2 linked regions of the Oryctolagus cuniculus genome follow. Each later gene encodes a partner of the first gene's protein in a complex. Links are inferred from orthologs where the notes say so. Each region holds a gene or a part of one and is shown in the gene's direction. Other genes may lie near its edges.

Evidence for each region.
Region 2: the proteins of KCNQ1 (region 1) and KCNE3 are in contact, whole or in part, in a cryo-EM structure (PDB 6V01), measured with the Homo sapiens proteins. The link is inferred for Oryctolagus cuniculus from reciprocal best matches to the Homo sapiens genes KCNQ1 and KCNE3. Residues at the interface, in NP_000209.2 of Homo sapiens: Arg116, Pro117, Thr118, Gly119, Trp120, Cys122, Phe123, His126, Phe127, Phe130, Leu134, Leu137, Ile138, Val141, Leu142, Ile145, Gln147, Tyr148, Arg181, Met238, Val241, Asp242, Gln244, Thr247, Lys362, Asn365, Ile368; in NP_005463.1 of Homo sapiens: Asp54, Asp55, Asn56, Ser57, Tyr58, Ile61, Met65, Phe68, Ala69, Val72, Gly73, Leu75, Ile76, Leu77, Tyr79, Thr80, Arg81, Ser82, Arg83, Val85, Lys87, Asp90.

Annotation. Positions count from the first base shown.
Region 1 is NC_091432.1:1,056,024-1,059,815, reverse strand, and holds part of KCNQ1 (potassium voltage-gated channel subfamily KQT member 1), read left to right. Parts: intron 1-537; coding exon 538-664; intron 665-1,063; coding exon 1,064-1,142; intron 1,143-1,661; coding exon 1,662-1,758; intron 1,759-2,219; coding exon 2,220-2,360; intron 2,361-3,792. UniProt on the Homo sapiens protein: Pore-forming subunit of the voltage-gated potassium (Kv) channel involved in the regulation of cardiomyocyte excitability and important in normal development and functions of myocardium, inner ear, stomach and colon.
Region 2 is NC_091432.1:65,697,001-65,701,568, reverse strand, and holds the start of KCNE3 (potassium voltage-gated channel subfamily E member 3), read left to right. Parts: upstream 1-1,623; 5' UTR 1,624-1,789; exon of another isoform or gene 1,790-1,793; intron 1,794-4,568. UniProt on the Homo sapiens protein: Ancillary protein that functions as a regulatory subunit of the voltage-gated potassium (Kv) channel complex composed of pore-forming and potassium-conducting alpha subunits and of regulatory beta subunits.

The DNA of each region.
Region 1 (3,792 bases):
CTGGCCACTTGCTCGTCTGTCCACTTAGCCACCTGCATCCGTCCTCTGTCCAGCTGTCTCTCCATCAGTCCTTCTGGGGGCACAGTGGGCGCCCCAGTGGGGTGACTCCCTAGCTGCTGTTGGGCCTGCCCCGTGCTCCTGGGGTTGTAGTGGCTGTGTGAGCTGGGCAGGGCGTGGTGCCACCAGAGCCAGCCCTGCAACCCCAGCTTGGCGCCTGAGCCCTGGGGTGCAGCACTTATGTCGGCTCTGGCCGGGGAATGAGGACCGGAGCTGCCCCTGGCCCCCTGGCCCCCTGGCCCCCTGGCCCCCTGGCCCCTTGGCCCCTTGGCCCCTTGGCCTCCTGGCCCCCTGGCCCCCTGGCCCCCTGGCCCCCTGGCCCCTTGGCCCCCTGGCCCCTTGGCCCCTTGGCCCCTTGGCCCCTTGGCCCTCTGGCCCCCTGGCCCCCTGGCCGGAAAAGCTGCAGCCCCATCGGGTGTCTGGGCCGTGGCCCCATCCAAGCCCCGCCTCAGCCCCGCCCTCTCACCCTCTGTCCCGCAGGAGATCGTCCTGGTGGTGTTCTTCGGGACCGAGTACGTGGTCCGGCTCTGGTCTGCCGGCTGCCGCAGCAAGTATGTCGGCCTCTGGGGGCGGCTGCGCTTCGCCCGCAAGCCCATCTCCATCATCGGTGAGTCCCACCTGCCCACAGGGTTTCCAGGCCAGGGGGAGCGTCCGTATCCCAGCCCGGCCCCGCCAGAGAGCCCCGAGCACTGGGATACCCCATTCTCTACCTGTCAGGGGCGGGAAGGCCCTGGGCTGCTGGCCACAGGTCTGGGGGGGCTGGCTCCCCTTTCTGGCCTGGTTCAGCTGGATGGCACGCTGGTGGCCCTGGGTAGCCCAGTCATCAGGGTCAGAGCCTGAAGCTTTGTTCCCTGGCCCTTCGTGGGCCTCACAACTGGTCCTCATGGAAGCCAGGGATTTCACACACAGCTGCAGCAGGGGGCTAGGCCTGCCGCTCCTGACCGGCAAGCCCCTTCCCCTGGGCCCAGCTGGCCAGTGGTCCTGACTGCCGCCCTCTTCCCCCAAGACCTCATCGTGGTCGTGGCCTCCATGGTGGTGCTGTGCGTGGGCTCCAAAGGGCAGGTGTTTGCCACGTCGGCCATCAGGTAAGCCTGAGCCCTGGGTGCTGACGGCCTGCGGCTGTGGGGGGAGGGGCTGCCTACTCCCTTCCTCCCTCCAAGTTGGGGTGGCCTCGCCCTCCACGCACCTCTCCAATGTGCTCCTTTGGCTGGGTGCCCGCTGTCCCAGAGTGCTGAGCGGCAGGCTGGGGGCAGGGTTCACAGTGATGCAGGCAGGTGGGGTGGCCGGGGCTCGGGGCCCACGAGACCTAGGACTCGCTGACTGGCACACAGCCTGCTCATCTGTAAATTGGGGTGGCCCTGGGTCTCCCCCAGAGAGCAGTTTGGGGCCAGAGGAGTGTGCTTGAACAGCTGCCCTCCAGCCTGGACCTGAGGATCAGAGCCAGGCCGGAGAGGGCCTCGGGCAGCACGGGGGGCTGAGGCCGGGAGGGGCAGGCACAGGGGGCAGGGGTCTCCGTGGAGATGCCGTGCACAGAGTGGGGGGCTGGTGGGAAGGGGCCTCCCGACAGACGTGGCCTTCCCAGCCCTGCTGCGTGTCCTCCCCAGGGGCATCCGTTTCCTCCAGATCCTGCGGATGCTGCACGTGGACCGCCAGGGAGGCACCTGGAGGCTCCTGGGCTCCGTGGTCTTCATCCACCGCCAGGTGGGTGGCCGTGCGGCAGCACAGCCCACACCGCTGTGGCGGCCCTGCACCAGGGATCCGGCCCGGCCGAGGCCTGGCTCAGGCCCACCTTCCTTTGAACTGAGGATGAGAGATGATTGGGCCGGTGAAAAACCAGACCCATCAGAGCAAGCCGTGCAGGTGGGGTCTGCACCCCCGTCCCCTAGTCCAGCCGCCGCAGGCTCAGGCTGTACCTGTCCTGGACAGCAGGGGCGAGGTCCAGCCTTCCTCTCACACAGGGGCTGCTGGGTACTGGTCAGCTTCCGGCTCTCTCACAGCAGAGGAGAGGGCCAGGCACACGGCTGGAGGGTGGTGGAGGGTGGCCAGGGGCCCAGCAGCTTATTCTGATGTCTGACCTGGGTGTGCACCACAGAGGGGCACTGGAGCCATTTCTGCGGGGGAGCCTGTGGGCCCGGGCTCAGGTGCTGTTTCTACCCGCCCAGGAGCTGATCACCACCCTGTACATCGGCTTCCTCGGCCTCATCTTCTCCTCCTACTTCGTGTACCTGGCTGAGAAGGACGCGGTGAACGAGTCGGGCCGCGTGGAGTTCGGCAGCTACGCGGACGCACTGTGGTGGGGGGTGGTGAGTCGGCGCGGCGCTGGGGCTTTGCTTTCCTGAGGCTTGGGGCCTCGCTGACCGGTCTCCTCTCCTGGACCTCAGGTTTCTCTGTCCTCACATCCATCCTGGGAGCCAAGGGTGCGAGGCCCCACGTGCCACCCAGGCTGCTCTGGGCTGGTTGCCGACAGCTTGTGTTTCATCCAGGAAGTCCAGCCGGGCCTTGGCGTGTGCATGGTGGAGCCTGGGCCTGCTGCGTGCCCTGTGTGTCTCAGCATCTGGGTCCAGGGTGCCAGGCAGGAAACAGGGTGGGAGAAAGGGCGGGGAAGGGTCTCCAAGGCCCTGGCCGGGGAAGTCAGGGTCCTGCCCTATGAGCTCCGGAGCTGCAGCTGCCTGGGGCAGCTGGGAGCCCTGCAGGCAGCCTCCAAGCCAGGGTCACCCAGCCTCAGGTGTGGCGCAGACCCGCGTGAGCCCCGAGTGTCCTGTGTGGACGGAGGAGCTAGGCGGCCATCTTTAGGGGGAGGGGCTGTGCTGCACTGGTCCCCCTGCTGAGGGTTTTGTAGGCACTCGGGGAACCAGCCCCTGAGACCACCCCGCTGAGGGGCCACCACCTCTGGAGACCCGGGGTAGGACGTGGATACTTCTCTCCCCCTCCCCTAGGCTGGTCTCCAGGCCCACTTGGGCCCTGTGAGGGGGGAGTGGGAGGCCAGGCAGGGGACCCAGCCTTGAGGGAACTGTGGGGTGTGTGGTGGCATCAGGCCCTGCTCGCTCTCAGGGACCTAGGGCGGGGAGCTGGCCTGTGCTCTCATTACTCCTGTGCCCCCCCCCCCCCACAAAGCCAGGCATGCGCTGGGGGCTTTTGATGTTGGCCAAGTCAACGTGTTTTCTGGAAGCTTCCAGCGTGCTCTGGGAGGACAAAGACATGCTGACACAGCTCCCGGGTTAGGGCAAGTCCTGCTTTCGGCCTCTGCCTGCCCCGTGGACGCCCAAGTCCCTGAAGGCCCCTGGGCAGTGGGCCTGAGCCAGTTTGGGCAGGGGATGGTCGCAGGGACATGGCAGGGCCTGCACAGGGTGGGGGCCAGGTTGCCCCAACCCAGAAGACCACCCTGGGGCAAGGTGGGCAGTGGGGGCCCTGGAAGCAGCAGGAAGCGTGGGGGCAGCTGCCCACAGTGCGGCTGATAAGCGGGGCCCAGCCCTGGCACGGCCCCGCCTGCCTCCCTGGCCGCCCGCTGGAGCTGTGGGCAGCAGAGGCTGCTCCCGGCCCCCGGCCCGCGGCGCTCCCACTCCCACACCTGTGCAAACATCCGCCCGCCGGCCGGGAACACGGCCCCTTTGTGCCCAGCTTGGCACCAGTGCCCTGGCCCGCGCCGTCAGCTGCAGCCCGCGCCTTGGTCACTGAGCGCCCTGGCCGGCCATTGTTCCCGCCAGGCTCTGTGGCCCTGGCCGTCCTGGGGCCCCC
Region 2 (4,568 bases), about 65 Mb from region 1:
ATGTGTCCTTCACTGTTATCTTAAAATCATATCTGTTATTGGGTTTGTTATTGTTAACTGTTATCTTAACACCATATTCTGTTTTCTTTTTATTGTTCACTGCATACCAGGGGTTTGGTTCGAAATTATGAGCCCCAGTGGACAGAATACTATAAAAAGCTGTGTAACTCGCTGTTGGGGGCTGCACTCTGGTAAGGAGTGGCGGTCCTGACCGGTAGACTTGCCTCTCATTTTCAATAAAATTCATGGGTGACTGTCACTGGCTTTTGTAATATTCCAATTTAGCTGACGAGTGGATGCAATAAGGGAATGAACCAGCGGATGGAGGACCTCTCTCTCTCTCTCTGCCTCTGCCTCTCTGTGACTCTGCCTTCCAAATAAAATAAATAAATCTTAAAAAAAATAAAAATAAAAAAAGAAACCATCCCACAAAGTCAACACAAGGCCCAAGGGCAGGATCTGGGAAGGAAGGCAGGCTGAGCAACCCTTTGCATCAGAGGCTTTGGGGAATCAGTCCTGTTAATTGTGTCAAATGCTCCGCCCCAGAGCCGCCTGCAAGTCGGGACTGCTCACCTCGCGTCAGATGACTTCTCTGAGGAAGAGGCACAGCAGGGTCCAACGCATAGCACAGAAGTAAGGAGTTCTGTACAAAACGCCCATCACGCGGCAGGTCTCTGAAAAGGCAGCCCCCCTGAGAGTCTAGATTCTGAGATGGAGGGTTCCGGCCCCCGATATCCTGGAGCCGGTTTTGGTTGGCAGGGTTGAGAGCTGGTCCGGGTTTGTTATTGGTCACTGGGAGGTGAGGCTGGAGGCTGCCAGGGGGCTTTGGTAGAGCCCGGACAGCCCACTGCTGGCCATTCCCCTGCCCCCAGCCTCCTGGCCCTGGTTTCCCAGCTGTGGCAGGCTGCTTGTCTTCTGCAGCCTGCAATGTCACCAGCAAGGAAGCAACCATGGGCGTGAGGACCTGGCGGCGGAAACGCCAAGCGTGTTCTGGGGTAGCGAGCACTAAGCTGTGACCTCAAACAGGGCCACCAGTCCCCCGTGTGCTGGAGCTTAGGAGGGCGCTGTGGGTGCATTCTGAGTCTGATCTCGGCCACCAACTTGGTTAGTGAGAGCCTGCAAGTCCCTTCCCGCCTCTGAGCCTCTGCAATCGCCTGGAAAAGAGCTTTTCGGTGTTGGACTCAGGGGTCGCTAAGCTTTCGGGCTCTAAGGTCTCCTCTGACCCCAGCCATAGGCCTGGGAAGCAAGTGTGTGTGGGACTGGCCCCATCTCACAGCGAGGAAGCCAAGGGCCAGTGAGGGGGCAGTGACTTGCCCACGGCCGCACAGGCACAGCCACAGCCGAGAGACAGCAGAGCTAAGTCTGATCCCACCGCCCCCAGCGCTCAGCCTTCTTGGGGAGATCAGCCTCAGGCCGCTCTGGCTCAGCCCAAGCGGGAGCCAGGAGCCTTGGGTCTCAGGTCCAGGAAGCAGGCGCTGCAGGGGACGGAAGGGAGCCCACAGCAGGGTGAGGCCGGAGAGCTGGGCGGAGGCGTTCAAAGCCAGCCCGGGAGCAGTGGGTGTGTTGGGGGCCGGGCAGGGCCGAGGAGGGGACGCCCTCAGGGAGAGAAAAGGGAGCGGAGAGCGGGTGGGAGCGCAGAGCCCCGAGGGCACGGGGCGGTGTTGGGCGCCCGGGGCAGCGCTCCGGGGCCGGCAAGGCGCAGAGGCGTGCAGTGCCCGGGCAACCCCGAGCAGGGGGCGCAGTGTCCACCCAGCAGGCGGGGCGCCCGCCTCGCAGCCTTTGCAGAGAGGTAGGTAAGGCGCACCCGCAGGGGTGGGAAGGCTGGCGAATGCGGGGTTTTCCCACCTTCTTTCCGAGGGCCAAGCGCCTTCTCCTGGAACCTGCGACCAGAGCTGGGGGCTGCTCAACTACGGAGCCCACGCCTCCCGGGCGAGCGCCCGGACCCAGGGCGGGCGGCACAGGCAGTGGAGGGGCGGAGAGGCTGGGGCCCTTGCACGCCCAGTCGGGAAATCATCGGAGCTTGAGCCGGTGCTCGCGGGCTCTGGCATAACCACACAGAAGTGCCTGCACGCCCATTGGCACGCAAGCGAACACCTGTCCCTGTGCGCTGAGAGTGCGCACGCGGAAATGACCCTCGGGGGCCCCCGCGCCGGCTTCTTGCTGCGCAGAGCCGATGGCTCTGCCGAGTTCACTTCCCCGCACCCGGTCCGACCCAGTCTCAGGAAAACCGCCGGACTCCCAAAGGCATCCCTTGCTCTTGGCAACACAGGCCTGGCTGGGGGTCCGGAGGACGGGTTCAGGTTTACAGGCTGCAAACCCAAGCCAGCCGCCCGCCCGTTCTCGCCTTGGGCTTCCCTTTCCTGCGAAATGGGCGTCCTGCTCCTGCTCCCCCACAGGGCCCCATGCGACCCGGGAGTCCCTAGTTGGAGAATACATGAGTGCAGCCCTTCGGTGAGTATCTGCTCCTAATCCCCCTCGCTATTCCATCAATTTCCATAGGGGGCCACTGAGGCCCGGGGGGGCACCAGGGACAGACAGAATTAGAGCCCAGGGTCTTACTTGTAGCCCGGGGCTGTCTCCTCTTCAGGGGTGCTGTAAATGTCCAAGGCCTCACCCCTTCCTGGTGTGCAGCCGTAGCCAACTGCAGGAGACCAACGAGGCTCTCCATCCCTACCTCCCTCCATGCGTTTCCAAGCACGTTTCTATCCAGAAGCCTCATATGTGGGAGCTCAAAATGCCTCCTAAGAGGGCGCAAGCTAAACCCCATGTTACTGATGAGGAAGAACAAGGCTCAGGGTGCAGAAATGGCTTCACCAGGACACACGCTGGATGCCCTGGCCAAACAGGGTGGAGAGGCAGCTCCAGTGCTCTGTATTGTGCAGGCCTTGGGACCACAGAGGGTGCCCCTACATGGTGAGAAACCTTGGGGATGGACAGAGAGGGCGGGCCACAGGCAGGTGCTGAAGAAGGTAAGCGTTTCCAAAAACCGAGAAAAACGCCAAGACCCTCAGCCCTCCACCCCGACCCTGCCTTTTTCTGAGGATAAGGAGAGCCTGGGTGGGGAGGGGGCACTTAAGAATGTTCTCGGTAGTGTGGGGGTGGGGAGGATGAGACAGAGAGGGCAGTAGTGGGGGCAGCCTGCCCAATCATTCTCTTACATAGCACGTCCGCACCTGTGGTTTCTTCCAGTTCTTGCCTGAGATAAGCAGCACAGGGGTAATTATCCCCGTCTCAGGGTGAGGTTCAGAGGGACTGAATGCAGGGCTCAAGGTCACGCACCTAGCGTGCAGCCAAGACTGGAGTTGTGAACGGCACCGCCGAAAGGCAGGATCACAGGCTAAGGGAATTGGACCGAGTGCATTTGGCAAGCCACACCCTGGGCAGGTACTTAGGGAAGAGGGTTACAAAGCCATTGCTGGAGTTTTGGGCCAAAAATGTTTGCCCTTTGGATTAAATGGGGCGCAGGTGCAGGAAGCGTCTGGGCTCCCCAAGGCGGTGTAGACTTCCTCCTCGCCTAACCCTCCCCACCTGAGCAAGGCGGCTGCTTTTCTTTGAGCCTCCCTTTCCAGACCAAATAGAATCTGCCCTGAGGTTGCTTTAAAAAAAAAAAAAAACAGTGTTGTGGGCTGTTCTCATGACTGTATGTGCACGCACTGCAGGAGGCAGCGCTGATCCATTCATTCTTGGGTGTTTTATATGTGCTCAGGCCTGGAGAATAAAGAAATGTGTGAAGCACAGGTCATAGTCCTGAGGCCTCGGACACACAGTTTAATAGGCATATGTGTACCCACGCTCATGCGCACACAAACGTATACATGCACAATGTCAATACAGCACACTGCTTTAATAGGATTTTGTGCAAAGCACTTTGGGATAGACAAGGGGGAGAGACCAGCTTGGCAGGGAGTGTGGAGGAGAGTGGCTCAAGGGGGAGGTGTGCGGAAGTGACGCTGGAACTTGGTCTTGGAAGGAGCAGGAGTTGGCTGGGAAGATAAAGAGTGGAAGGGAATGATCGCCTTTGCCTGAGCAAAGGCAGGAGGTGTGTGAGTGTGAGGTGTGGCTGGAGAGTGGCCTGTAGCTCAGAGTCCTGGGGAGAGCTGTAGAGAGCCAGGGCCAGTGGCCGAGCACAGCTAAAGGAGTCTGGATGACAATGAGAGGAGTTTAGACCTCACTCTGCAGGCAGCAGGGAGCTGACAGTAGAAGGGGACACCTGGTTTCTGGTCCTAGGCTGCAGCTGTGAGCCCGTGAGCAAGTGATTGCTCCGGGTGGAAGTGGTCTCTGTTTTCTACTGCTCGAATGAAGGGGCTGCACCAACCACGTGATCACCAAGTTCCCTTCCAGCTCAGGGTCTGTTCCCGTGTCTCCCTCCACGCAGATGTCCCGGCCTGCACCTTCGGCCCCTCTCCCACCGCAGCAGTCCGCCAGCCCGCAGTGGTGGTGAGACGGCCTCGGCGTGCATCCCATGCGTGGTCGAGGAGAATGAGCCTCGCTCCTGCAGGGCCCCGGGGCAGGTCTGGAGCAGAAGGGGCCCTGGAGGAGAGACATGAAGGAAAGAGAGCTGACCCATT